Elephas maximus indicus: one gene and its partners. The protein of the gene in region 3 purifies or fractionates together with the protein of the main gene of each other region. This does not show direct contact. Links are inferred from orthologs where the notes say so. Each region holds a gene or a part of one and is shown on either strand. Other genes may lie near its edges.

The links.
Region 1: the proteins of FUS (region 3) and SAFB purify together in Homo sapiens (affinity purification with mass spectrometry; 3 studies listed by BioGRID and IntAct, with this or other methods). This does not show direct contact. The link is inferred for Elephas maximus indicus from reciprocal best matches to the Homo sapiens genes FUS and SAFB.
Region 2: the proteins of FUS (region 3) and EFTUD2 purify together in Homo sapiens (affinity purification with mass spectrometry; 3 studies listed by BioGRID and IntAct, with this or other methods). This does not show direct contact. The link is inferred for Elephas maximus indicus from reciprocal best matches to the Homo sapiens genes FUS and EFTUD2.
Region 4: the proteins of FUS (region 3) and SF3A3 purify together in Homo sapiens (affinity purification with mass spectrometry; 3 studies listed by BioGRID and IntAct, with this or other methods). This does not show direct contact. The link is inferred for Elephas maximus indicus from reciprocal best matches to the Homo sapiens genes FUS and SF3A3.

Annotation. Positions count from the first base shown.
Region 1 is NC_064821.1:8,789,636-8,796,495, forward strand, and holds the start of SAFB (scaffold attachment factor B1), read left to right. Parts: upstream 1-3,848; 5' UTR 3,849-3,991; coding exon 3,992-4,180; intron 4,181-6,860. Other genes in the region: SAFB2 (scaffold attachment factor B2), read right to left, coding at 2,092-2,179, 3,323-3,508. UniProt on the Homo sapiens protein: Binds to scaffold/matrix attachment region (S/MAR) DNA and forms a molecular assembly point to allow the formation of a 'transcriptosomal' complex (consisting of SR proteins and RNA polymerase II) coupling transcription and RNA processing.
Region 2 is NC_064837.1:51,315,685-51,322,822, reverse strand, and holds the start of EFTUD2 (116 kDa U5 small nuclear ribonucleoprotein component), read left to right. Parts: upstream 1-4,125; 5' UTR 4,126-4,248; intron 4,249-4,361; exon of another isoform or gene 4,362-4,474; intron 4,475-7,138. Other genes in the region: CCDC103 (coiled-coil domain-containing protein 103), read right to left, coding at 298-747, 1,839-1,971, 2,729-2,871. UniProt on the Homo sapiens protein: Required for pre-mRNA splicing as component of the spliceosome, including pre-catalytic, catalytic and post-catalytic spliceosomal complexes. Component of the U5 snRNP and the U4/U6-U5 tri-snRNP complex, a building block of the spliceosome.
Region 3 is NC_064830.1:90,408,114-90,414,987, reverse strand, and holds the start of FUS (RNA-binding protein FUS), read right to left. Parts: upstream 3,018-6,874; 5' UTR 2,952-3,017; coding exon 2,939-2,951; intron 1,417-2,938; coding exon 1,392-1,416; intron 1,298-1,391; coding exon 1,143-1,297; intron 1-1,142. UniProt on the Homo sapiens protein: DNA/RNA-binding protein that plays a role in various cellular processes such as transcription regulation, RNA splicing, RNA transport, DNA repair and damage response. Binds to ssRNA containing the consensus sequence 5'-AGGUAA-3'.
Region 4 is NC_064821.1:79,567,002-79,574,838, reverse strand, and holds the start of SF3A3 (splicing factor 3A subunit 3), read left to right. Parts: upstream 1-4,819; 5' UTR 4,820-4,933; coding exon 4,934-5,029; intron 5,030-5,248; exon of another isoform or gene 5,249-5,292; coding exon 5,293-5,340; intron 5,341-7,837. UniProt on the Homo sapiens protein: Component of the 17S U2 SnRNP complex of the spliceosome, a large ribonucleoprotein complex that removes introns from transcribed pre-mRNAs.

The DNA of each region.
Region 1 (6,860 bases), on a different chromosome or scaffold from region 3:
GTATTTGCTTGGATAGACCAACCTTAGAGCTGAAGTATGGACAGTGACATGAACAGCACAACTGCATCAACGTGTTAAAATTTAAGCTCACGTGCCTCATATAACCTACATCGTAAAAAATTGAACCTTTAAAACATAGGCTTAAAGTTTAAACAATTTGATGAATTATGAAAAAGTCCTTCCAGGAAAAATTGTTAAACTGAATTTTACTTAATTTGCCAATGTTTTAGTTTCTTTCTACTTTCGAAGCAGCTGTCCTCCATTGTCTGAAATTCAGTGCTTCTTCAGATGAACGCAACATGAACAGCTGTGAGAATTTTTCTGTGTGGCACCTTTCAAAAAAAGCCTACAACACAAGAGTTTTCTATTACATTGTCCTTCTCACTGAAAATCTAATGACGACGATGATAGCCCACTAGTCAAGGTTCCAAAGTCGTAGAAAATTAAATGTTTCCAAAAATACATTGGTATCAGCTATAAAAAGGAATGAAGTACTGATACATGCCACAGCACTGACAAACCTAAAAACATCATGCAGAGTTAAAAGAAGCCAGACACAGAAGGGCACGTGTTATACAGTTCCGTGTATACGAAACGCCCGTAAGAAGCAAACCCCTAGACAGGAATGAGATTAGTGATTGCCTAAGACCGTCAGAGGCAACATGAGCAGTGACTGCTTAATGAGCACATGGTTTCTTCTGGACTGACGAAGGTGTGAAATTAGACAGGGGTGACGGTGGTACATCCTTGTAAATACGCTAACAACCACTGATGTGTGTGCTTCAAGTGAATTTTATGGTATGAAAAACGTATCTCACTTAATACAAATGCAAGTCACCCGACTGTACGTGTAAAAAGTGTTGAAATGGCAAATATTTTATTACTTACAAACTTAGTACAGAAGAAAAATATGGGGATAAAATACCAATGCAGTACAAATACCCCAACAACACATTTTGGACCTAGCAAAGCTGGATCCTATTCGATTTGGAAAAGGCCTTGATGGTGAAACGGTGAGGTGCTCAGATACTAACCAAAAGGTTGGCAGTTCAAACCTACCCAGTGGCTCTGTGGGGAAAAGACCTAGTGATCTGTTCCTGTAAAGATTCAAAAACCCATTGGCGTTCGGTTGATTCTGACTCATAGCAACTCTATAGGGCAGAGCAGATCTGTCCCATAGGGTTTCCAAGGAGCTCCTGGTGGATTCAAACGGCCAACATTTGGTTAGCAGCTGTAGCTCTTAACCACTACACCACCAGGGTTTCCCCTGTAAAGATTACAGCCTAGAAAATGCTACAGGACAGTTCTGCTCTGTCACATTGGTCGCCATGAGTCTGAATTGACTGGACGGCACCTAACAACGTTCAGTCTTGGGTTGTTGTCATTTTCCTTGGTTTGAAGCCTGTATTTTGAAGCAGAAAGGAAGCCCAGCAGGGGTATTTGGTTGGTCAGGTCAGCTGGGGCAGCTTGAAAAGTATGCCTTCCTCTGGTTCTTTTTAATCCCAACGCCAACAGCAATTGCTTACTGCCTGCGCTTATCTTGGCTCCTCCAGCACCCTTGACACGACTGTTTATTAGGTGACAAAGAGTAAGCCTGCTTCTTTGAGCAGGGCCACTAAGGGTTAAAGAGATCCTTCCCCACCGGGCAGAGAGAACTAGACGAGTGCTAACAACCAGTTCTCCAAATTCTCTAAAAAGAACGCTGGCAGTGCAATGGTTAAGCACTCAACTACTAACTGAAAGGTTCGAACCCACCCAGAAGCTCTGTGGGAGAAAGGCTGTTGTTGTTGGGTGCTGCTCAGTCAATCCCAACTCACAGTGATTCTACAGGACAAGATAGAACTGCCCCCATAGGGAGCAGATCACCAAGTCTTTTCTGCTGCAGAGCTACTGGTGGGTTTGAACTGCTGACCTTTTTGTTAGCAGCCAAGCACTTAACCATTGCAGCACCAAGGCTCCTTCTCCCTAGAAAACCCTATGGGGCACCCTAGTCTGTCCCATGGCATTGCTATGAGTTAAAATCTACTAAAGGGCACACAGCAAGTTCTCCAAACACTCAAGCATCAAACAACAATAAGTACAAATGGATACCTTTAACACATTTCTTTGTAGTCTTCTTGCTGGTGACGTCTAACTCTATGTCAAGTTCATCAGGATCTTGACCTTCTTCCTTAACTGCCTACTAGGAAAAAACAAAATTTACAACATTATCAAATGCTGCCTGGCACCGGCTGTTCTTCATAAGTAACAATCTCCCAGTAAACAAAAGCAATTCCTTCTTTGTAAAACTCAACTCTGCTTCTGCTATCTGGGACTGCAAGCCCAAAAGGCACAGGATGGACTCAGTACAACTTGGGTTCTCTCTGGGCCCAATGCCCAAAGTCAAAGGAAAGGCACACCGCAGGGGTCTGTGAGCCGGAGCTCCAGCAATGGGGTCAATGACCAGGTCTGAAATGGGCACTGCCCAACCTCCTAACTTTAAGTTAATGCTGAAACAAGTAACGGACAGGCTGAACTTGATCCTGCATGGGTGAAGGGCTGGGTGGTGTTCAACAGGCCATCTTTGACCTCTGGGGAAGAGCAAACTGCCAGGTTAGGTTGAAGGTTGGTGGTTTCACTCATGAGGTATTTCAGTGCCTTCCATGTCCTTGGCATAAGAGTGGTCACTCAAACGGGAACTGACAAGGTTTCTACCCTGAAGCTTGTTCTAATAGTGGAGAGAATCCCCACGTATATTGGTTTGTGCTAACAGACTGCACAGGATGATAAAGTGGAAGACGGGGAGATGGAGCAACACTTTCAACAGGGCAGTTAAGGAAGTGACATATCACACAGACCAGAAACGATAAGGGGAGGAACAGTCCAAGCTGAGGGCACAGCAAGTGCAAAGGTCCTGAGGCAGGAACGGGACCAGCCCGCTCTTCCTGTAAAATCTCAAAGACTCTTCACACTCCCTGTTAGGTCGGCGACCCCATGCTCCAGGGGAGGAAACTGAGACGCACGGAGAGAGAGCAAGGCACTTAGCCAAGGTCATAGAGTTGAGACTCAAAGCCGAGCCCCGGGAGGAGGCCAAAGGCCACCCGGGTGGCTAAAAAGTCCGGCTTTCAGAGCACTTGAGGCGAGGGGTTGAAGGAGGGAAGGGAGCAGGGCACAGCGTGGAGTGGTGACGGGCCAAGGTCACAAAATCGGGTCCCCGGGTCCCGGACAGCTCGAGCCGGGGTCCCTACGAGGGGGACGGGCAGGGACGCCCCGGGCCCGGGCTCCAGGCCAGCAAGGGGGCGTGCCTCGGCCCCCCACGCCACCCCGGGGCCCCAAGCATCACCTTTTTGAGCCGCTCCATCAGGGCGCTCTTGTTGCCGCCCGTGTCCAGGTTCCGTTTCTTCAACTCCGCCCGCAGATCGATCACACGCAGATCGCTGAGCCGCCGCGTCCCGGTCTCTGAGGCGCTCGAGTCGACAGCGGCCGTGTCAGAGCCCGAGTCGCCCGGCCCTGCTAGAGTCTCCGCCATCCTGGGCTTCCCGTCTCCGTCACCTACTTCCCACACCGCCGGCAGCTGTAGAGGCTCTGAACACAAAATGGCGCCGCCTTAGAGGAAAACGCACTCGCTTCCTCCCGCCCCGCTTTCCGGCGCGCATGCGCGCTGCCCCAACCAGCGTTCTTAACCTCCCGCGCGCTCGCGCGCCGACCAACCGCACGCTCCCCGCCACAACGCGCAAGCGCCGTAACTGCAGCACGCAAGTTTCTCGGCCATCCCCGGCGGGAGGCTGCTGGGGCGCAACGCGCCTGCGCGCACCCCCCGCCAAGGCTTTTACCGCGCATGTGCAGATGCGTCCCGAAGCGTCGTCCTCGCGCCGAGTGCGTCTGCGCAAAAGCGAGGCGCGCCGGGGCGGCTGGAGCGGTTCCCTCTCAGGCGGCGCCATTTTGTGCTAGAAGCCGAGATTCAACCGGCCCGGTTCTGTGTGAAGTGGGCGGCGGAGCCAGGGTCCCTGGAATGGCGGAGACTCTGTCAGGCCTAGGCGATTCGGGTGCGGTGGGCGCAGCTGCTCTGAGCTCCGCCTCGTCGGAGACCGGGACGCGCCGTCTCAGCGATCTGCGGGTGATCGACCTGCGGGCGGAGCTGAAGAAACGGAATCTGGACTCCAGCGGCAACAAGAGCGTTTTGATGGAGCGCCTGAAAAAGGTAGATCTTTGGGGGGTGGGGGTGAAAAGAGGGTTGAGGGTCCCCGCGGCCGCGACGGTTGTTTCCTCGCCCTCAGGTCCGCCCCCGGCCCCGTTTGAGGCCTGCCCGGCCTGGCGCGAGTCCCCGCGCATCGCGCCGCTCTCGGCTGCCCCCAGGCCCCAGCGGGAGCTTAAAGGCCGAGAGCGTGATTTCTGAGGCCAGCGGGGCCCGGGTTCAAATCCCAGCGCTGCATTGTGGCGGGGAAAAGAGGAGGGGAAAAAAAAAAAAGCAATGCGGACGGGGGAAACGGTCTCGGTCCGCAGCTCGTGGTGACGGGTGACATCGGCCACGGGCTTGTGTTTTCTGCATCAGCCACTACGTCGAGGGCTTTCCTCTCGTTGTCTCATCCTATCGTCTGTAACTAGACTTGGGAACCTGAAATGTTCACCTTAAGGGACTCGGCCAAGGTCACACGGCCAGGAAAGGGTGGCGTCGGGGTTTGAATCCAGGCCGGCTGGGCTCCTGAGCGCGTTTTTCTCTGGGAAGATCCTCCTCGACCGTTAGGGCCCAAAAGCCCGGGGTATGGGGGTCAGTTACAAAATAAACAAAGAGGAAAGCGTTTAACGATTTACCAGCACTAATCGGGAGGAAATGAGAGGATGATGGTATTTAGTTATTGTTAGGTGACGTGGGTTGATTGCGACTCACAGCTACCCCATGTGTTACAAAGTGGAACTGCCCCTATAGGGTTTTCTTGGGTGTACTTTTTATGGGAGCAGATCGCCAGGCCTTTCTTCTACAGAGTAGCCGGGTAGGTTGTAACTAAGCTTTTCAGTTAGGATATCTCGCTTAATCTGCGTGCCATCGAGGCTCTTAGTATTTACTCAAACCGATTACCGTCGAGTCGGTTCCAACTCATAGCGACCCTGTACAACGCAGTAGAACAGCCCCAAAGGGTTTCTAAGGAATGGCTGGTGGATTCAAACTGCTGGCTTCTTTGGTTAGCAGCTCAAGCTCTTAACCACCACTCCACGAGGCCTCTTTGGTGTTTACAGTAGCAAATAAATGTATAGTACAGTAAGGCTTAGAGAGGAGTGAAGGAGAGCTGCGGAGCTTCACCAAGAGACGAGTAGGGACTCAGGGTTCTGCCAGGCCTTAGTGGCCTAACCATGGGCAGGCAAGGCATTTAATCCCATCTGAACTTGCTTTTTCTGTGCAAAGAAGAGAATAATGGTGCTTTCGTTTTAGGATTAAATTGAAGAGCATCAAATGGGCTGGGCATATTGCCTGGCCCATCTAAATAAGTCATCGCTATTTTATCATAGCTCATAACCGGGTTATCATAGCTCGTAACCAAAAGGTTGGCAGTTCAGATCCACCAGGCGCTCCTTGTGTGGGGCAGTTCTCCTGTGTCCTGCAGGGTCGCTATAAGTCGGAATCAGCTCGAAGGTAGCGGGTTTATCGTAGTTCACTCTTTTGCCACCATTTTGTTACCTGCAAAACAGGGGCTCTAACCTGGCGCAGTACTGAGTGGTGTTTCATTCTGTTGCGCACGGAGTTCCTAGGAGTCAGAACTGACTCGACGGCACCTAGCAACAACCCCGTCTTGAGAATTTTATTCTGAGGGATCGATGTGAAAAGCACAATTAAGTAAGTTAGTGCGCTTTTAAGGAGCCTGGTGGTGCAACGGTTAAGCGTTTGGCCACTAACCCGAAAGTTGGAGGTTCAAACCCACCCAGCTATACTGCCAAGAAAACCCCCTGGGGCAGTTTTACTCTCTTGCGTGGGGTCACCATGAGTGTGAATAAACTCAACAACACCTAACAACAGTGCCCTCCTACTCTCCTTGCATTTTCCTCATTCTTTTTGACTTCCTTCTTTGCTTGCCCAGGCCTTGGTATCTCTCCAGGGTAATGTCTCAGCCTTGCCACCTACCCCCCAACCCTGTCCTGCAGACGGTGGGGCTGGTGACTCATTCCACCCTTCTGTCTCCCAAACAACCGAGAATCAGGATTTCATTATATATTGGTATTAAGAGGAAGTAGGAATTATTTCCCGTTTCCCTGATGAGGAAGATGAAGCTCACCAAATGAAAAACCAAACCCAGTGCCTTCGAGTTGATTCCGACTCATAGCATCCCTATAAAATGAAGCTCAGGAGGGGTTATTTGACTTGCCCAGGGTTATTTGGGCTTTTCTAATGGAAGCCTCTGTTCTTTTTACTATGAATACTGTCTCCTTTTAGGCAGGGCAAGGAAGTTCTCTGACCAAGATGTGACCAAGAGGGTGGGAAGACGTGGTCTATTTTTCTTACCGATAGCGGGGCTCCCGTCAGCAAAGCCTAATCGAGGGTTTTTACCCTGTCCTTCCCAGGCAGCACGTGAGCCTGTATATACTCTACAAAGCTGGTATGATGGTATTGAATCTTCTTGTCAGTTTGCTGGCTGAGAGACTGGCTGTCGCTCCAGGAATCCCCCATCAGTATCATCTCTGAGGGGACAGATTATCCCTCCTCCTCTCTCAAATACCATCAGCGTATACTCCCGTCTGCTCTCCCGGCCAAAAAGGATACCGCTGTTTTTCTCTCCTGCTTTTGTCATCCAGTTAATATCTCTCTTATTTCTCTAAGAAGGGCAAAGGAACAGGAGATGGAGGGAACACTAATTTTGCAAAGGTCTACTCATGAGTTCTGCTCCATCCTA
Region 2 (7,138 bases), on a different chromosome or scaffold from region 3:
CATCTCTCAGGGCCAGCGGACTAAAGGCTTGGCAAGCTCTAAGAGCGCCGTCTAAGGGTGGGAAACAAAACTGCTTTCAACTTCTTGGGCCCTTGACTGCCCAGATAGTTCAAAATACATAGCCACAGAGGGACTGACAAAGTGGGGAAGACTCAATGCCTGTTTTTGCTGTGAAAATTCCAAGTTGAGAAGATAATCAGGTGTAGGCTTCTCATTACAGTCCTAGTGCCCCCAAGACAACAACCAATGAAAAATGCCTGAACGACAACTGGGGACCTCTGAAGGCAGCTGGTCCTATCAATTCACCTGGTACAGCCCCAGTAGCTCCTGCAGGAGCCCCTCCTCCTGGGGCCCACCAGACTGCTCCTCCAGACGCTGCTCCTCCTGGCTGAGCCCCTCGGCCGTGGGTCTGGGGACGCTCGTGGCCTGAAGCTTCTGAAACAAGCCTCTGCAGCTCTCCCTCTCTGCATGACTCAGCAGGCTCAGGTTCAAGGTGAAGCGCCCAGTGCTGGTCAGGCTGTGCAGGATCCCAAGAATGGCCGCCCGGTCACCTGGCCTCATATGATCAGCCAGTGCCACCAGCAGCTCCCCTAGAAGTCCAAACCCCACATCCATCTGGAAGAGGCGGCCCAGCCTTGGGCCCCCGAGCTGCAGCAGGGCCTGGTAGCGCTCTGGCCCACTCCTCAAGTGTCGCCGCCAATCGCGGTAGAACTCTGCTGAGGTCTCGGGCTGGAAGAGTGTTTTCTCCTAGACCACAAAGGAAGAAGGAAAGGGAGACCAGAGCTCTTCCAGCTGCTCTGGGACAGTGAGGGCAGCCTGTGGGTTTTCGTCTTAGCTCTGGTACTGCTCTTTGAGCACTGCGAAGGCTGCAGTCCTGTGGGTCTCATTTTCAGATCAACTAAGCCATGACTTGAGATTCTCAGTTGTACCAGGGTAGTCTCTCTGATGAATGGGGACATATAGCCCTGGTCTACGAGAATAAGTCAGAGTTTACTCTGAGCAGGGTGAAGGGGATGATTGGAACTCAAGGTGAGTGTCAAGGATCTGACAGGCTGGGTCTCCCTTCAACACTGCCACAGAATCATTACACTATATACACCACAAGTCGGAGATGGAGAGACCCAAACCTGCTCTGGGAATGAAAGTCGAAGGGCTGGCTGAAGGGGGCCTGCCCAGCACATCTTTCTGACTTGATCTGCCCAGTTCAACTTGGCCTCAGCATTCACTGGCTGCTTTGCTTTCTGGGATCAGAGTCAGAAACCTGCCTCTGGTCGCTTAACATGAAAACAACAACAGTAAAAACAACTAAAAAAAAACGTGTTTGATTACATAGGTATATAAATACGCATAAATATGTACAGAAAGGCATATATGAGTAACTGTAGGCATATATGTGTATATATACATGTTCATGTGTGATGCATATATTTTCAAGTATAAAATAAAGCACATAGTAGATTGGACCATAAAATAAATAATATCACCTGTGAGTACTGTGTTCCTCAAAATAATCATCTAGATGAAACCAAATGGTTAACATTTGCCCTAGACCAAACATGAGAAGGCTAGGAGGGACAGGGAAGCTAGATTAATGGAAACAGAACAACCAAAATGGAAATAATGAGAATGCTGATATATTGTGAAAAATGTAACCAAACTCACTGAACAGTAAGTACATAAATTGTTAAATGAGAACCAAATTTCCTGTGTACACTTTCACTGAAAATACAATATTTAAAAAAATAATAATTATAAGGCAAAGGTATACGTTGTGAGAAGACAGGTTTGGGAGTTTAGGGCAGAGAACCTGCTGGGGAAAAAGGCTGGGCCTCACCTACCTGGAATATTTCAGTGCCCTCATCCTGGGAGGTGCTTTCCTGAGTAGTGTGACAGTTCCAGGGTGCAGTTCTCTTCCCTCCCATCTTGTCCTTCTGCTCCAGAGGTTTCAAATGTGAAGCAAGGACAATACCCCTGTGGGCAAAGAACAGAGACCGAGGGGGTGGACTTAGTGCTGTTACAAGTGGGTGCAAGGAGGCTGGACTTTGCAGCATACCAGCTGAATCTGTTAGCAGACAGTCATGGACGGAATTGTGTCCCCCCAAAATATGACTTGGAATCTTAACCCCTATACCTGTGAACATAATTCTGTTTGGAAATAGGATTTTCTTTGTCATGTTAATGAGGCTATACCAGTGTAGGGCATGTCCTAAACCTAATCACTTCTGAGTTATAAAAAGAGCAGATTAGACACAGAGGAAAACACATACCAAGGAAAGCAGATACCATGTGAGGATTGCCAAGGAAACAAGGAACACCGGGGCTATCAACAAGGAAGGAATCAACACAGCCCAGACCCTGATTTGGACTTTTAGCCTCCAGAACTGTGAGAAAATAAATGCCTGTTCATTAAAGCCACCTACTTGAGGTATTTGTGTTACAGCAGCACCAGGAAGCTAAGACACAGGTCAAAATGACAATAATAATAATAGTGACAATAGTTGACAGTTTTTGAGCACTTCCTCTCTGTTTAGAGTATTATGTGCAATAACTCATTTAATCGTAACAATTGTTCTTACTTTATAAATGAGGAATTGAGACTCAAAGAGGTTATGTAAACCTGCACAAAAGATCACCCAGCTAACAGGGGGTGAGGCCAGAACTGAAGCCCAGAACTGACTCCAGAGCCCTTCCCTTTATTCACTATAGTCCAGCGTAACAGGGAGCCAACCTGAACTCCTCATAAGATGCCACCCTCTGTTCCACTGCCCGTAACTTGGCAGCATTCTCCCGCTTGTACTTCTCATCAGCAGTAAGTGCAGCCTGCAGCTCTTTCTCCAAAGCCTTGAAGTCGATGATGTCATTCCTTTCCATGACCTGTGCCTGGGAAAGCAAAGGGAATGGACATGAGCATAGGGTCATCGTCAGGGGGGAAGAGGAAGCCTCTGGATTCTTTGCCAGCCCACAAAATGACCCAAAAGCACTCTGGGTATCTCGTTACTTAACTTATCTTGGTGAAGAGGATAGTGATACAGAAATCTAGTTTTTTACTTTACAGAGGGGAGCTGAGTTGCACAGTGGGGACTTGCACAAGACTTGTTGTCACCGAAAACAGAATTTGGAGCCCTGTGTTTTGTTTTCTGCCTCTAAAAATATTTTATTTTTTTTGCTTCCGCTGAGGCTTTTGGATCTCAGAATTTGGTTCCTTTACTTTATAGCAAGTTATTGGGATAAAAGACCTCACACAAAAGCTGAACTATTGTCAGGTACTATAGAGCTCTAGAATAAAATCTAACCCTGCATTAAACGTCTTTAATGGGGAAGGATACTTTTCACCCAAACCAGATGCAATGACTGAGCAGGAAATGAAGAAGTGGCAGAGGAAGGGGGTCAATGATCCCTATCCTCAAATCCCTCTGTTCAGCCCAGGGCTGGAGCACAGGTCCCCATGGACTCGGGCAATCTCTTTAGTCCTGCCACTATACTTCTGTAGCCTCTGCGTTATCTGCAGGCAGGTTATCTATATGGGTTCTAGTCTTTGACATTTATTTGCTGTAAAATCTCTCTTTAACCTCCTGGTGGATTAGGCTAGATTTTGTGGCGGAGTCATCATCAACAGCCTTCGAAAAGCAGGCGGCCCGCATCCAGCCCAATAGTCACCAACGCGGAGAAACCAACCAAGCGCCAACAAGGGCCAGAACTGAATTCCGGCGTCCCGGTTCCTGCTAGTTCTAAATCATCCCCAATAGCTGAACTGAGAGAGAAACTAACCCTTCCGCCTCCCTAATTCAGTCACCGGGAACTTCACCCCAGCAGCCCGGGTCTCGGATCCCTTGCTTTCTTTGGGGATCCCCTGAAACATCAGGGAAAGAGGGCGCTCAGCGCAATCTACTCCTAGCAGCTGTGGTTGCTCAGCAACTGCCACAACAGCCTGCCCACGTGATCTTCTCGAAGGCCCCTTTTCGGGGTGGCTCCGAGGTGCCTGATCAGATTCATGCCTCCTCGGGTCATACTTTCTTTGGGACAGCCGCGCCTTATTTTGGGGACCCACAACTCCATCTCGGGCCTTCCTGTCTCCATGGCTGGCACTCCTCCGAGCCGGTCCTCAGGCGGAGGGTTGTCCTTCGGGGCAGGAACGCCCCCGAGGCGTCTGCGGGGTCCTTCCTGACTGCGGGCGCAGGCGCGGCGCGGCGTGGGACAGAGCGCGGCCTTCGGCGGCAGACTTGGGGCTTCTGGCTGAGCGGGCGCGAGGTGAGCTGGCGCAGGTCAATGGCGTGGGGACGTTGCTCCGGGTGGGATGGGAAATTATAAACGTCATATATGGAAAAGACGTTATATGCTGTCTGTCCCCCTTTCGCTTGGAGAAATTGAGGCCTGGAGCGGAAAGGGGACCGATTCAAAGAACCCTTCTCTCTCTACTCCCCCCCACCCCAATTCTGGGGTTCCCTCCGTATCGTCCGTCCGTAAAATCTCGTAGGTAAGGCTTACGTTCTGTCTGGTTCCCTCTCTTTCTCTTCTATCTGGGTCGCCTTCGCCCCTTCCTTCTTTTGGGACTCTGCGTGATAGCGAGAAGCTACAGTCAGGACTGGCACCAAAAGTCACTAACTGGTTTTGTGCAACTGTTGGCCAGTCAGCTAGCTTCTCTGTGCCTTGGTGGAGTCATTCATTGATTCAGTAAGGATGTATTGTTTTGTTCTAAGCGAACAAAACAGTCCTTGCTAAAATTGTAGTTGGGGTGATGAAGAGAACAGTGAGGGTACCTAACAGTACAGTTAACTACCATTCAAAGACATAAATGTTGATGAAGGTGTAAAGGTCTATATAGAACGTTGCTGTTGTCAATCATCATCGAGTCGATTTCGACTTATAGTGACCCCATGTATGCAAAGTGGAGACCCTGGTGGCGTAGTGGTTAAGTGCTAGGGCTGCTGACCAAAAGGTTGGCAGTTCGAATCCACCAGGCATTCCTTGGAAACTCTATGGGGCAGTTCTACTGTGTCCTATAGGGTCGCTATGAGTCGGAATCAACTGGACGGCAACTGCTCCGTAGGATTTTCAAGGCTGTGACCTCTCAGGAGGAGATCACCAGGCCTGTCTATCATGGTGCCTCCGAGTGGGTTTGAATTGCCAGCCGTTAGGCCAGTAGGGGACAGTTAAACATTTGTGCCACCCAGGAACTCTTCTAAAGGTACTACAGATAATATAAACAAATAAGTCTGGTTGTGTTCCAGTACAGCTTTATTTTTATTTATGTATTGTTTGTTTTATTGTATTTTAGATGAAGGTTAACAGAACAAACTAATGGCTCATCATACAGTTAGTACACACATTGTTGTATGACATTGGTTAACAACCCCATGACATGTCAACACTCTCCTTTCTCAACTCGGTTGTTGTTTTTGTTGTTAGGTGCCGTCGAGTCGGTTCCGACTCATAGCGACCCTATGCACAACAGAACAAAACACTGCCCAGTCCTGAGCCATCCTTATAATCGTTGTTATGCATGAGCTCATTGTTGCAGCCACTGTGTCAGTCCACCTTGTTGAGGGTCTTTCTCTTTTCCGCTGACCCTGTACTTTGCCAAGGATGATGTCCTTCTCCAGGGACTGATCCCTCCTGACAACATCTCCAAAGTATGTAAGAAGACACAGTCTCCATCCTTGCTTCTAAGGAGCATTCTGGTTGTACTTCTTCCAAGACAGGTTTGTTCATTCTTTTGGCAGTCTATGGTATATTCAATATTCTTCGCCACCACCACAATTCAAAGGCATCAGTTCTTTTTCGGTCTTCTTATTCATTGTCCAGCTTTCACATGCATATGATGCAATTGAAAATACCATGGCTTGGGTCAGGCTCACCTTAGTCTTCAAGGTGACATCTTTACTTTTCAACACTTTATAAGGTCTCTTGCAGCAGATTTACCCAACACAATGGGTCGTTTGATTTCTTGACTGCTGCTTCCATGGCTGTTGATTGTGGATCCAAGTAAAATGAAATCCTTGACAACTTCAATCTTTTCTCCATTTATCGTGATGTTGCTCATTGGTCCAGTTGTGAGGATTTTTGTTTTCTTTATGTTGAGGTGCAATCCATACTGAAGACTGTGGTCTTTGATCTGCATTAGTAAGTAATTCAAGTCCTTTTCACCTTCAGCAAGCAAGGTTGTGTCATCTGCCTAACATAGGTTGTTAATGAGTGTTCCTCCAATCCTCATGCCCTGTTTTTCTTGGTATAGTCCAGCTTCTCCAATTATTTGCTCAGCATACAGATTGAATAGATATGGTGAAAGGATACAACCCTGATGCACACCTTTCCCGACTTTAAACCAATCGTTATCCCCTTGTTCTGTCCAAACAACTCCCTCTTGATCTATGTAAAGGTTCCTCATGAACACAATTAAGTGTTCTGGAATTCCCGTTCTTGGCAACGTTATCCGTAATTTGTTATGGTCCACACAATCGAATCCCTTTGCATAGTCAATAAAACACAGGTAAACATCATTCTGGTATTCTCTGCTTTCAGCCAGGATCCATCTGACATCAACAATGATATCCCTGTCCTCTTCTGAAACCCGCCTGAATATCTGGCAGTTCCCTGTCGATATACTGCTGCAGCCATTTTTGAATGATCTTCAGCAAATTTTGCTTGTGCATGATATTAATGATATTGTTCTATAATTTCTGCATTTGGTTGGATCACCTTTCTTGGGAATAGGAATAAATATGAATCTTTTCCAGTCAGTTGGCCAGGAAGCTGTCTTCCATATTTCTTGGCATAAGTGAGTGAGCACCTCCAGTGCTGCATCTGTTTGTTGAAACATCTCAATTGATATTCATCAGAATCAGAGGTTGATTTTGATTATAACGAATTGGGCAGAGAGTCCAAAAATCTTGATGAGGACTTCTTCCTTCAGTACCATCAGTTCCTGATCATATGCTACTTCTTGAAATGGTTGAACATTGAGTAATTCTTTTCGGTATAATGACTCTATGTATTCCTTCCATCTTCTTTTGATGCTTCCTGTGTCATTTAATATTTTCTCAACCCTGGGTTCCCTATTACTAGCTACAGCTTTATTTTTAGACACTGATATTGTTGAATTTTATGTAATTAATTTTCCTGTGTTGTGAAATGTTAAAAA
Region 3 (6,874 bases):
CTTGGGTGCTAACCAAAAGGTCTGCAGTTTGAATCCACCAGCCACTCCCTGGAAACCCTACGGAGCAGTTCTACTCTGTCCTATAGAGTTCCTATGAGTTAGAATCAACTAGATGGCAGTGGGTTTGATCCCTATGGCTATAATCCCATTTCAGAATAGATTTTGTTATGTTAATGAGTCAGATTCCGTCTAGGGTGTGTCTTAAACCACTTTTCAGATATAAAACAAGCAGATTAAGCAAGTAACCCGGCAGGCAAGTAGAGACAGGGACAATACAAGCCACATGATGGCCAAGAAACCTAGGAATAGAAGCTGAAAAGAAACAAGGACCTTCCCCCAGAGTGGACAGAGAGAGCATTCCCTTAGAACAGGTGCCCTGAATTCAGACTCCTAGCCTCCTAAACTGTGAAAAAGTAAATTTCTGATTGTTAAACCCAACTACTTGTGGTATTTGTTACAGCAATGCTACGTAACCAATACACTAACTGATCCTCACCCATACTTGAAAAGTCAGCCTCTTAGAAGGTACAAGTGAATCTTGTAACTCAAAGCCTTAAATTTACACTTCTCTTCCACCTGAAGTCTACTGCCTCAACTTACTATCAACTCTTTAGTTCAAAGAGACCCAAAGACAGTCTCTAAGACCACCATCTAATTGTAGCCCAAAAAATCCTATTTATTAATAGCATTTTAACATGCTGGTTATGTGTTCAGCACATACAACACCACTCACCTTATTTACTTACCCTTCTGGGCCTCAAGGCAAATTCAACCTCCTAGTGTATCACGTGTTGTACGGTAACAGGACTTTAAACATCTTTAAGTAAACCATACCTAAGCCTAAAAAATGTTCCTCTGTTCAGGGAATACCCTCCCCACATTTCACTTTCATAATCAAAGGGGAAATGTGAAAAGGTCCAGCAAAAATTAAAAAGATAAAAAGCCAAAGGCAGGAAAAAAAGTTACAAACCAACATGTATTTCCGTTTGAAACAAAAGACTCTGGCCAGAGAAGTTCTACATTTTATAGACAGGCTATGTGCCAAAAAAAAAGGACAATTTCAACATTTCCCCACTGTTCAGGTTTAAGAAAAGCAACACTCAATGCAGGAATAGGTCAAGTGCCCACTAAAAGAGACTCACTGTTCTGAGTCTGTCCATAAGAAGAACTATAGCTGCTCTGGCCATAACCTGAAGTGTCCGCTGAAGGGCCGTAACCACTGTAACTCTGTTGTCCGTAGGGCTGACTGCTCTGCTGGGAGTAGCCCTGCCCAGGTTGGGTGGGATAGGCTCCGTAGCTGGTCAAAAAAAAAAAAAAAAAACCAGATTAGAGAAAGACTCCTTGGCCACCCTGCCCTGTACAAACCCTGGAAGCTGAGACTCAACACTCACCTTTGGGTTGCTTGTTGGGTATAATCTGCAAAAAGAAAATACAAATCACATTACCTTCAGCCAATCCTGAAAGAGTAGGATAAAGCTAAAACTCCTTAACTCAATCACTGGGATTTCCAAGAAAAAACAACAAGCAAGACTTACAAAAACATAAATTACCCCATGAGACTCTAGTTGAGAGGAGGGGCAAGCTGGCGGATTTGTCAAATTTTCTTACAGCAAAGAATGATAACCATACAAAGAAAACGCAAATCTCTGCAGTGACCAAAGGGAAAAACAGCTACAATTTTCTGCAAAGGAACAGCTCTAAAACATTTTACATGCGTTTTCACAACCACTCTTTAAGGAAAGCACTACCAAGAGTAAAGACAGAGTAACATGCCCTACGTCAGAGACAGGGCTGAATTCAAGCCCGAGGTAGGAACGCTCGGAATGCTGTCTCCATTCTTTCAACCCAAAGACATTCTTGTCTCAAGTGTCCATTTTCCGACTTCTGTCCAATCTTACAGATCGGCCAACGTGGGCTTTTGGCACTAACCCAGGCAACCAAAAGAACCGCCCCCCCCTTGGCCCCAAACAGGAGAGCCATCAGTTCGCCTCAGGAAGCAAATGGTACTCAAGTCCCCAGTCCTGTGAAGCTTGAGAGTTCTTTCCTCATCCACCCTGCCTTCTTTGGAGCCTTGGGGAGACTCGGCAAACCGAACGGAGCGAAAGCGCTTTTATAACGCCAGATTAAAAGAGGTACGAACATCCGTACAGGAAATGAGGCGTTTCCCCCAAAGGGAAAGGCAAAAGGGAAGAGGGTGTGGCCCGAGCGGCCGTGCCTTTCGGCTCCCATCTCAAAAAAAAAAAATTTAGGCGGGAAAATCCTCGGGTCTGGTCTCCAAATCCCCTGGTCTCTCTTCCTGTTGCCCCCAGACCGTTAGGCCAGTGCGTGGCCCTGATCCCGAGCCTCCGCCCCCAGCCGCGTGGCAACCAAGGCGGGAACGGAGCAGTCCCGCCCCTTCCCGAGGGACCCCGGGGGTGAGACGGTGTCACACCGGACGCACGCCGCAGGCTCTCCAGCGGAGGGCCTCGCGACAAAAAACGGGGCTAGCACGAGGCGGCAGAAGGGTGCGCGCAGCTAAGGGGAGGGACCGCCAGAGCGCGTGCGCGCACCGAGTGCCCGGATGCAGCACTGCGACAAAGCGGTCTAGAGCGCGGGGCTGGGAGCGAAGGAAAAGCCTCTCCTGGGTCCGACCGTCTCCATCCTTACCTCATGCTTCAAATCATCAAGAAACGTTCCTCACCCTCCCCCCACAGCCACCTCAAGTAAAAGGAAGACCGACCCACCCACCCCGCGCTCGCAGGCCCCGAAGGAACGAAACAAAATGGCGACATCGGCCTCCCCCTCCCACCCTTCTCCGCTGCTTCCCGCCCCAGGGGTGCGTGGAGACGATTCCACACGCAGTCGCCGCCCCGGTCCCACTGAAAAACAAAAGCCCAGCTACAAGGAAACGAGGCCTTAGGGCTGGCGCGCCACCGCCGCCTCGCGCCCACACACATACCGTTTGAGGCCATGTCCGCGCACGCGCGCACAAGCCGACAAGCAACAAGATTCCACCACCACGGAACACCGACGCCTCGAGGACTGAGCAACCCCGCCTCCTGCGTCGAGGCTTATGTACGCCTCCCCCGCCTACGTACAGCAGGGGACTGTACCAAATGCGGAAAAAGAAAAAGTGAAGCAGGGCTGGATTCTACCACGCTTCAAGAAGTATAGACAGTTCAGGCCTCAGGAAGAAGCATATTAACCTAGAATATTAATAATCATAATATATAATCATACTTTCCTATAAAACACTCTAATTTTCTCTGACGCGCTACCCCACGATTCTCCTCTACCCCTGTAATTGCATAATGGTAGAGTCCGATGACCTGCTGGGGGCGGGGCGAAGGGCCCAGGGAGCCGGCGGTAGTCAAAGCCGGGATTTGCTGGGCGGGAAGCGAAATTCTCGTCTCTGGCCGCTTTCACTGGGCCTCGCTTTCACTCAGGACAGGGAGTTCTTGCCTTCCGCTTCGCCAGCTGAACTGTGCCGCCCGCCGCCAACCTCCCTTGCACACTCACACCCCCGCTGACTCTAACGCTCCTTTTCCGACGCACATGAACTCTCTCACTGCCTCAATTTTCACTTCATTTTTCATGGCTGCCTATTCTCAGTCCCTACGAGGGTGTGTAGATTTTGAGGTTAATTTAATTTGAAAGGAAGCATAGATTTAGCCCAGGCGCGTTTCGCCCAAACCTTCAGGCTTTGCCCCTTATTAGCCGTGGGAGGGGAAAGCCCACACCTCCCTGGACTTCGGAGAACCTTGGGAGCTACCTTTTATTCTCCTGAATCCCCACCAAGGCACCAGTTTAGAGATGCCAGTAATAAATGACATTTGTTATAAGGCGTAAGTGGTTTAAAAATGCGCAATAACTGCGTTCCCATCACCATTTTGTGCGGTCGATTCCAACTCATACCGACACTCCCATAGAGTTTCCAAGGAGCACCTGGTGGATTTGAACCGCTGGCCCTTTGGTTAGCAGCCATAGTACTTAACCACTATGCCACCAAGGCTTCCTACGTTTTATAGGTAAGAAAAGTGAGTCTCAGGCCAAGTAAATCCATGATTGTAGGGCAGCTAAAGGTCAGTGGTGCCATTTGAATCCAGGTCTGTGTGACTGCAAAACATTCCTTTTGTTGGCTACATGAACACTTTGGAGTGTTCAGAAGCCTGTTCACTTCCCTTGAGAGCAAAGAGAAAAAATGAAATTCAGATTAACTCACAACTTCCACTCTATAATAAGCCTTGCTTGGAGAAGGCAACTTTTAACTCTAGAATAAAACAAAGGTTACTCCTGATAACATGCCATGCAAATTTTCCTTCCCAACTTACTTCTCCAGAAGTCACTTTGTAGGTTGGACGCGTTTTTCTAGAGAAACAATGAGGGGTACGACCCAACCTGCCCATAAACTTCCATTAAACCTCTGATTTGGGCCTTGAACACACACACACACACACGCTTTGGAAGGGTAATGAAACTCTGAAGTGAGGGCAAAGGGAAATCCATCATTGATTCATTCATTCAACAAATATTCATTAAACACCTACCGGGTTCCAGACAAGGGAGCCCTGGTGGACCCTGTTCTAGGCAGTGGAGATGCATTAGTGTAAAAACAGATGACGCTAGCATTTAATACTGATATGTGTTATATCTATAGATTGTTGTTGTTTTGGTTAGGTTCTGACTCATAGCAACCCTATGTACAACAGAATGAAACACTGCCCGGTCGTGCATCATCCTCACAATCCTTATGCTTGAGCCCATTGTTGCAGCCACTGTGTCAGCCCACCTCACGGAGGGTCTTCCTCTTTTTCGCTGACACTCTACTTTTCCAACCATGACATCCTTCTCCAGAGACTCAACCCTCCCGATATCAACCCTCCCGATAATATGTCCAAAAGTATGTGAGACGTAGCCTTGCTCTCTTTGTTTCTAAGGAGCATTTTGGTTGTACTTCTTCCAAGACAGATTTATTTGTTCTTTTGGCAGTCCATGGTATATTCAATATTCTTTGCTAACACCACAATTAAAAGGTGTCAATTCTTCGGTCTTCCTTATTCATCATCCGGCTTTCACATGCCTAAGAGGCAATCAAAAACATCATAGCTTGGGTCAGGCGCCCCTTAATCTCCAATGTGACATGTTTGCTTTTCAACACTTTAAAGAGATCTTTTGCAGCAGATTTGCCCAAAGCAATGCATTGTTTGATTTCTTGACTGCCACTTCCATGGGTGTTGATTGTAAATCCAAGTAAAATGAAATCCTTGACAACATCAATCTTTTCTCTGTTTATCGTGATGCTGCTTATTGGTCCATTTGTGAGGATTTTTGTTTTCTTTATGTTGAGGTATAATCCATACTGAAAGCTGTGATCTTTGGTCTTCATCACCAAATGCTTCAAGTTCTCTTCACTTTCGGCAAGCAAGATTGTGTCATCTGCATAACACAGGTCGTTAATGAGTCTTCCTCCAGTCCTGATGCCACATTCCTCTTTATATAGTCCAGCTACTTGGATTATTTGCTCAGCATACAGAATGAATAAAAACCAAACCTGTTGCTGTCAAGTTGATTCCAACTCATAGCAATCCTATGGGACAGAGTAGAATTGTCCTGTAGAGTTTCCAAGGAGTGCCTGGTGAATTCGAACTGCCACGTTTTGGTTAATGGTGTAGCTCTTAACCACTACGCCACTAGGGTTTCCACAGAGTGAATAGGTATAGTGAAAGGATACAACCCTGACACACACTTTTCCTGATTTTAAACCACGCAGTGCCCCCTCGTTCTGTTCCAACTACTGCCTCTTGATCTACGTGTACATTCCTCATGAGCACAGTTAAGTGTTCTGGAATTCCCATTCTTCCCGATGTTATCCATAACTTGTTATGATCCACAGATGTTATGATCCACACTATGCCTTTGATTAGTCAATAAAATACAAGTAAACATCCTTCTCGTATTCTCTGCTTTCAGCCAGGATCCATCTGACATCAACAATGATATCCTTCATTCCACATCCTTTTCTGAATCCAGCTTGAATTTCTGGCAGTTTCCTGATGATATACTGCTGCAGCCACTTTTGAATGATCTTCAGTAAAATTTTTCTTGTGTGTGATATTAATGATATTGTTCGATAATTTCTGCATTTGGTTGAATTTCCTTTCCTGGGAATAGGCATAAATATGGATCTTTTCTGGTGGGTTGGCCAGGTAACTGTCTTCCAAATTTCTTGGCGTAGACGAGTGAGCACTTCCAGAGCTGCCTCTGTTTGTTGAAACATCTCAATTGTTATTCCATCAATTCCTAGAGACTTGTATTTTGCCCGTGCCTTTAGTGCAGCTTGGACCTCTTGCATCAGTACCATCGGTTCCTGATCATATGCTACCTCTTGAAATGGTTGCAGGTCAACCAATTCCTAATAATAAAAATACATATTATATTTATGTGTTATAAAACCGAAAACCAAATCCAGTGCCGTCGAGTTGATTCTGACTCATAGCGACCCTATAGGACAGAGTAGAACTGCCCCATAGAGTTTCCAAGGAGCCCCTGGTGGATTCAAACTGCTGACCCTTTAGTTAGCAGCCGTAGCACTTAACCACTATGCCACCAGGGTTTCCTTATGTGTTATAGCTATACATAATATATTTATAATAGCTAGCACTTTGATAAGGCTTATTAAGTGTCAGGCACTGTTTTGAGTGCTTTGAGTATAACTTGTTTAATCTTATTTAAACAAGTAAGCCTATGTGGTTGGTGTGAGGATTACAATTTACAGATGAGGAAATAAGTACAGAAAGGTCAAGAGCTGTGCCCAGGGCCACACAGAAAGTGGCAAAGCCAGGTTCTCAACCTAAGGAGGCGGACTCAGAGTTGCCGCTTGTTACTCTACACTTAG
Region 4 (7,837 bases), on a different chromosome or scaffold from region 3:
ACTCCATGACCCAGGGTCCCCAGACCCAGCCTCTTATAGAGCCTCCAGGATTCAAGCTCCCACCCCAACTCCAGAACTCAGCCCTCTCCCCCATGGTCTCAGACAAAGGCCCCTTCACAAATCAGAGCTCTAGACCCCAGCCCTCCAAACATGGGCCCTGGAACCCAGATCCCCTTAAATCTAGACTTCTCTCCAAAGACGTTTGGTCTTCTGTGGGTGCCTGAGAAGTCCTAAAAAGTGGGCTATACTCAGGTCTGATTCCTCTTCTGGCCCCATTCCAATCCCATCACTAGGGCTGGGGCTGTCTAAGCAGCAGGGCAGGGGTTGCTGGTTGGGGGTGGGGGTCCTAGCGTGCAGGAGCTCTGTGTCCACCGAGTGTCTTCTCATTTCATTTCAGCTCCATTTTACGGAGAGATGGGCAGAGGGGTGGCCATGGGGCTCCCCCCTCCAGATTCTGTAATAAAGCAGTGTGAGAAAGCTCCGGCCTCATGTGTTTGTCTGGGGGAAGGGGAGGGAAGGAAGCTTCCTTTGCGGACCAGGAGATGCTGAAGCTCTTCCTAGACCTCTTCTGTGCGGGGCTGAGAGGGAGGTGGCCTGGACTCAGGGTGGGAAGTCCCTCCCGAAGAAGGAATCCCGAAAGAAGGGTTCCCAGCCACAGCTACCATCCCTCTCAAGCTTAGCGGGCCTCCCTCCTGCTGGCACAGGGCTTTCTCCTCCTTGTGGGGAAAGGAGGGTCAGGGTGGGGGGGGCGGGAGTAGAAGTGGGGTTACCTCTGGTACAGATCGCCCCCACCCCTCACAGCCCTTCTCAAATCCTGCAGAGCACCTCGTCCGGATCCCCAGTCTGAGCCCAGACCCTCAGCCCGCTTTCCCCCTCTTCCCAGGGATTAGCGGGGGCGGCCCGGGATCCGCTCTCGCGGCCGCACGTTTTTTGCCAAAAAAGGCAAGGATGCAGCTGCACGCGCCGCGGGAACATCTGGATCCAATTCCCGGCATGAATGGGTCATGGCCCCGCCCCCTCCCCCGTGATTCACGGGCGGGGGCGTGAATGAGCGTGGAGGGCTAACCCCCGAAGTGGGGAGATGGGGCGGAGCGCTGCACCCCTCACCCAGCGTCCCACGCCGGGGCCCCCAGCCCCCTCGGCGGCCTGCGGTCTGGGCCGCCGCCATCTGACTGGTGGAGGCAGCTTTGCGCGCGCACGCGGCACGCGCGGGCTGATGCGCACACAGAGGACCGCCGGCAGCCGCCCCTCGGTGTGAGGGTGCGGGCGGACCGTGGGCGATCTGTGGGGTGGGGCTCACTCCTAGTCCGGCGGAAACCGCGCGATCAGATGTAGCTCACGTTAAACCTTCCCAGAAACCTGTGGGGCATTACTTCCATTTTACAGAGGAGAAGACCGAGACTCAGGCGGTTGCCCAAAGTCTTGTAGGTAGTCACTAATCCTGGATTCTAATCTGCATTACACTGCCTCCCGGGCCCAGTCCTAAACTATCTGAGGAAAGGGTTGGCATTTTCAACACACCATTCCCAGTGCCCAGTGCGCTTACCATGATTAATAATTGCATGTTTACGTTTTTGTTTCTCTCCTTGACCGTCAGAATTGGGCTGGGGCTTCCCTTGTTTCCCCTTCCATTCCCAGCTCCCGGCACTTACTACAAGTTCGGTGAGTATTTGTCGAGTAGGAGCAGTCCAAGCGTAGAAAACAGGTGGTGCAAAGGCCTGGAGGCCTGAAAACATATGGTGCTTTGGGGAAGCACCAAGTAATTTAATCTGGAAAAAGTGCCAGGAGACTAAAATGGCAGGCAAAGCCCAGGTCACGGAAAGCCAAGTGCCAAGTTAAACAGACCTCACCCTGCGGGTAAAGCAGCTAATGGAAATGTTCAAGCAGGGGCGTGAGATGATCGCAGTTTTGGAAAGATCACTTGGGCTGTGGCATGAATAATGGATTGGAGGAGTAAGATGAGCAAGCTGGTTAGGCGGGTGGTGCAGTGGTCCAGGTGAGAGAGGATGAGGCAGGTGGCAGGTGGCAGTAGGAGTGGAAAAGACAGGACTGATTTGATGGAGTGGGGATAGAAAAGGGGTTTAGGAGGAGGTAGGCATCAAGTTTGAGGCAAAGGGAAGGAATGAATGGCGGTGCTTAAATGTTCCACCCACCTAAGAGGAAGAGATACCCTGGTACGATACCACATTTCATTGATTTCAAGACATTTTCCAGGTTTAAGATCTCAGAATCCTGAGATGCATTTTATAATTGACAGTGTCAATTATAAAACTGGGTCATAATTTGACAGTTTTCCTTTCTTTTTGGAGCTTAAAATAATGGTAAGTTTTACATTTGATGGTATCTCTTATTGGATGAAATAGGACAGATCACCAACCTTACAAAAAATAATAATAATAAACACCCTGAGTTACTCCACTCCAGAATGGAGATTTCTCCCTTCTTTCCTAGGGGCCCAGGAAAAGCCCCAGAGGGCAGCTGTGCCTGGGGTCCCCCATTCTCAAACACTGGAGGTCTTGCTTATATTTTCAGATGCAAATATGATCCTCACAACACCCTCATGAGTAGGCAAGACAAGGGTCATTACCCCCATTTTATTTTTCAAACTTTAAAAACCAGAAGATAATTTTTTTTTTTTTTGCAAAAAGCAACGTGTATTCCTTGTAGAAAAATTGTTATTGTTCTGTGCCCTGAAGTCAATTCCAACTCATAAAAACCAGTCCAGTGCCTACCCTGTGCCTAGCAACCCTATATGACAGAGTAGAACTGCCCCATAGGGTTTCCTAGGCTGTAGTCTTTACGGGAGCAGATCACCAGGTCTTTTCTCCCACAAGCCGCTAGGGGGTTCAATCCACTGACCTTTTGGTTACCAACCAAGCTCTTAACCATTGCTCTGCTGGGGCTCCTTGTAGAAAAATTAGACACTACCAAAGAGTAAAGAGAACAAAAGGTAAAAAAATAACTCCTTGATGCATTACAGCTTTCTAGTCCTTTTTTGTTAAGCATATACATGCATATATATATTTTTTTAGTTTAAATTTATTTTTAAATTAAAAAAATAGTACATGAATACATTAAACAAAACTTTTCACACTGTATTTTGGGTATATACAAAGAAAAACTTTTCTCTCATACCACATGTGCCAGTCCATCTTCTGGAAAACAACCATTGTTTAGTGTTACTTGGATATTCTTACAGAAATCATCTCTGTATATCTTTTATACACACTGTTGAGCATCCACCTTTTTTGACTTTTCCTGGCCATCTTTTCACATGAGTTCACACTGATTTTTTGACAGCTTCATTGAAGTATAATTTACAAACCGTAACATTCACTCATTTTAAATGTATAATTCAATTATTTCTAGTATATTAATAGAGTTGTGGAACTATCACCACCATCCAATTTTAGAACCTTTCCATCACCCCAAAAAGATACTTGGTGTCTATTTGCAGTCACTTCCAGTCTTGCCTCCAACCCCTGGCAACCACTCATCTACTTTCTGTCTCCATGGATTTGCCTTTCTGAACATTTCATATAAATGGAATCATACACTATGTCATTTTAGTATCTAGGTTTTTTTTACTGGCTTTTTTTTTTTTTTTTTTTAACTGGCATTATGTTTTCAAGGTTCCTCCATATTGTAGCATTACGTGGATATGCCGAATTTGGTTTATACACTCACCAGTTTAGGTTGTGTCCAGTTTTTCTGTCAATTGTGAATTATAAACAGATGCCCATATAAGCACACAGCTGTAGGTCTTCATTTCTCTACCTAGAAATGAATATACAGATTTCTTCCCCCTTTTTTTTTCAATGATTGGATGTACTACACTTTATCAATCTAGTCCTCAACTGGAGCCCAGAAACCCTAGTGGTTAAGTGCTACAGCTGCTAATCAAAGGTTGGCAGTTTGAATCCACCAGGAGCTCCTTGGAAACTCCATGGGGCAGTTCTACTCTGTCCTACAGGGTCACTATGAGTCGGAATCAACTCCACCGCAATGGGTTTGGTTGTTTTTGTCTGCTGGAGCCCTGGTGGCATAGTAGTTAAGAGCTTGGCTGCTAAACAAAAGGTTAGCACTTGGAATCCACCAGCCGCTCCTTGGAATCCCTATGGAGCAGTTCTGTTCTTTCCTACAGGGTAGCTATGAGTCAAAATCAACTGGACAGCTAAGGGGTTTTTTGTTTGTTTGTTTTTAAGTCTGCTGCTGTGAACCCTGGTGGCAGAGTGGTAAGAGCCACGTGGGCTAAACAAAAAATTAGCAGTTCGAATCCACAAGTCACGCTTGAAAACACCATGAGATAGTTCTACTCTGTCCTATAGGGTCACAAAGAACCGGAATCAACTCCATGGCAACGAGTTTGGTTTTTGGTTTGGTTGGCACCCCGCTGAAAGGCAATTAAATTGTTTCCATTTGTAAGTTTCTACAAAAAAAAATCTGTTATTATCCCCATTTTACTGAAAAGGACATTGAGGTCCAGAAAAGAGGCAAATGTTGTCAGAGGTCACCCTGAAAGCTAGGGACTCAAGTTCTGATCCTCCAATTCCCATCGCGTGCTCCTCAACTGCTCCTGAATCCAGACAGGATCCCCAGCGGCCCAGACGGCCCCACGAAGCTCCGTGAAGCCCTAAGAAGCCAGCAGCTGAATTCAGGCTCTTGGATTTCCATTCGCCCACCAGAGGAATCTGCAAACCGCTCGGTAGCGGGCCACACACCCCGACCAGCAGGGGGCAATGCTGCCATCGCGATAGCACAGGCTGGCGCTCCTCGCGGTGCCCCTTTTCCTCGAGTCCCCAAGGCACTTCCGGCACTTACGGAACTCTAGTGCAGCCGGACGTGCCGCGTGGGGACGCAGGCGCTCAAGGCGGCGGGAGCTGCTTCTGGCCGCGTCGCTGATCTGAAGTGAGGTACAGCGGCCAAGGGAAAAATGGAGACAATTCTGGAGCAGCAGCGGCGATACCACGAGGAGAGGGAACGGCTCATGGACGTCATGGCCAAAGAGATGCTCACTAAGAAGTCCACGGTGAGTAGGGTCTGGGCCCCTTCCCCGGGTTTAGCCGCCGAGCGCGCTCTTTGGCCTCAGACCCGCCCTCCTCCTGCCCCCCACCCTCCCGGGGGCTCCCTCTCCGAGCTCCGGCCTCGGCAACCTCCTCCTCAGGCCCAGCGCCCCGGCGGCCTCTTCGCTTCTGCCGCTGAACCTGCGAAGGTAAGCTCCGCCCTCGGGCGGCCTTTCCACCCCCAGGCCTGGGACTAACGGCGTCTGTGTCACCGTTTGTCTGTCTTCAGCTCCGGGACCAGATCAATTCCGACCACCGCACACGGGCCATGGAAGATGTGAGTGCTCCGCTGTCCTTTGGTCGGGGGGCGGGAAAGGAGAGGAGCGGGGAGGCGGGCGGAGCACGGGGTCTCACCGGGAGCCCTGGCCAGAGCTCACCTGACTGGCCAGGGTTGTCCGCCTGCAGCCGAACCTGAGGCTCCTGAGCTGCTCCTCCTCACTTTCCTGAGTGGGGAGCGCTTCCTCTTCATTACTCGGAAAGTAATGCCTTCTGTGTCCCTTGGATGTGCGAAAAATAGTGAGGAGGACTCAGTGACTCAGACACAGAAGGTACTGTTGTGTCCCCGCAAAACGAGAATGCTGTGTTAGTGTTTCCCTTCCAGACCTCTCTTTTGAAATGTTTTTGTTTACCAAAGTGCTTTTGCCCAGTTAGATTTTCTTATTTGAAAAAAAGAAAACTAAAGTAAAATGTTGGTAATAAAGTTGGGTGATGGGTAAATGGAGATTCATTATACTACTTTTTCATGTATTTGAAATCTGCTCAGAAAGGATTAAAGGCCTAATTAGATTTTTTTTATTTGCAGGAGATAAACATTACTACCAGTCCTGTCCCTTATCTACATCCCCAAATCCAAAAACAGTTTGTAAATCGATAGGTTTTTTGGTGGCAAAACATAATGTGGCCTCATTTGGCAGCAAAACCTGCCCTGAGCAGATGAGAGGCTTTTTATGGTGTTTCTTATTCCACTTCGCCCTGGTGGCACAGTGTTTAAGCACTTGGCTGCAATTGGCATCCACCAGCTGCTCCTTGGTAACCCTATGGAGCAGTTCCACTCTATCCTATAAGGTGGCTCTGAGTCAGAATTGAGTCAACAGCAACAGGTTTTGTTTTTTTTTTTAGTTTATTATCCCACTTAAGGAGCCATGGTGGGGCAGGGGTTAAGCACTTGGCTGCTAAGAGAAAGGTGGGCCTGTTGACATGGCAATCACTTCTGCTTCCACAAAGATTACAGTTTTGGAAACCCTATGGGGCAGTTCTACTCTATTTTATAGGGTTGTTATGAGTCAGAATCTATTCCACGACAATGAATTTTATGTACTAATTAACCCAATTTGGTATCAATCCAAAGGTTTTAAGTTATGTAAAGATCTTGAAAATTATCTACAAGCCTATATACCACAAAACAATTACTGTTAAAATAAAATTTGTTTACATAGTTTAAATTTTTTTCCAAACTTTTCACCATTTTCCATATTTTTCAATCTAACTGTAGCCCTTTTAAGATTTCGTCAACTGGTTTTGGACCACCACAGGGATGGAACCATTTTTCCAAGCAATTTTGATGCATTTTTATTGTGATTTTTATGTTTTTACTTCTTAAAAATTTCTTTACAATAGAGAGGACTTGTTTATGGTTCTTACTAAGACAGCGTTTGTTTTATTTTAACCCAATCAATATCCGCCTTATTTATCCAGTTTTTAAATATCTCCGCCCTGTTGGGAAGAGTCTCTCAACTCTTTCTTTTGTCTTTACTAGTCTTTTGGTAATTGGCGTAGCCTTATTTCCTTAAATAAAACCTTTTCTTTAACAGATTTATAGAAAAACGCATCAAGTTTTAACTTTTATTTCCATCTGGGTTTGTCCCGTTGTTGTTGTTGTTAGGTGCCATTGAGACAGTTCCGACTCTTAGGGACCTTATGTACAACAGAATGAAACACTGCCCAGTCCTGGGCCATCCTCACAATCTTTGCTATGCTTGAGCCGGTTGTTGCAGCTTCTGTGTTAGTCCAACTCATGGAGGGTCTTCGTTTCTTCCACTGACCCTCTACATTATCAAGCATGATGTCCTTCTCCAGGGACTAATCCCTCCTGATTACACGTCCAAAATACATGAGATGAGTCTCGCCATCCTCACTTCTAAGGAACGTTCTGGCTGTATTTCTTCCAGGACAGACTTGTTTGTTCTTTTGGCAGCCCATGGTAAATTCAGTGTTCTTCGCCAACGGTGTAATTCAAAGGCATCAGTTCTTCAGTCTTGCTTATCTGTTGTTCAGCTTTCGCATGATATGACGTGATTGAAAATATAGTAATCCTCCCTTATCTGCAGGGAATACATTCCAAGATCCCCTGTGGATGCCTGAAACTGGGGATAGTACGGAACCCTATATATACTATTTTTGGTCCTATATATACGTACATAACTATGGTGAAGTTTAATTTATAAATCAGGTACAGTAAGAGATTAGCAACAATAATAAAATAGGATAATTACAATAATATAGTGTAATAAAAGTTATGTGAATGTGGTCCCTGGGCAGGACGGAGTGGGACGGCACAAAATTTCAGTATGCTACTCATATAACACTTTTGGACTGAGGTTGGCCTCAGGTAACTGAAACTGTAGGAAGTGAAACCTTGGGTAAGGAGGGGCCACTGTACCATGACTTGGGTCGGCACACCTTAGTCCTCAAGTGAAATCTTTGCTTTTTAACACTTTAAAGAGGTCTTTTGCAGCAGATTTGTCCTATGCTTCCCTTTGTCACATTCTGGAACA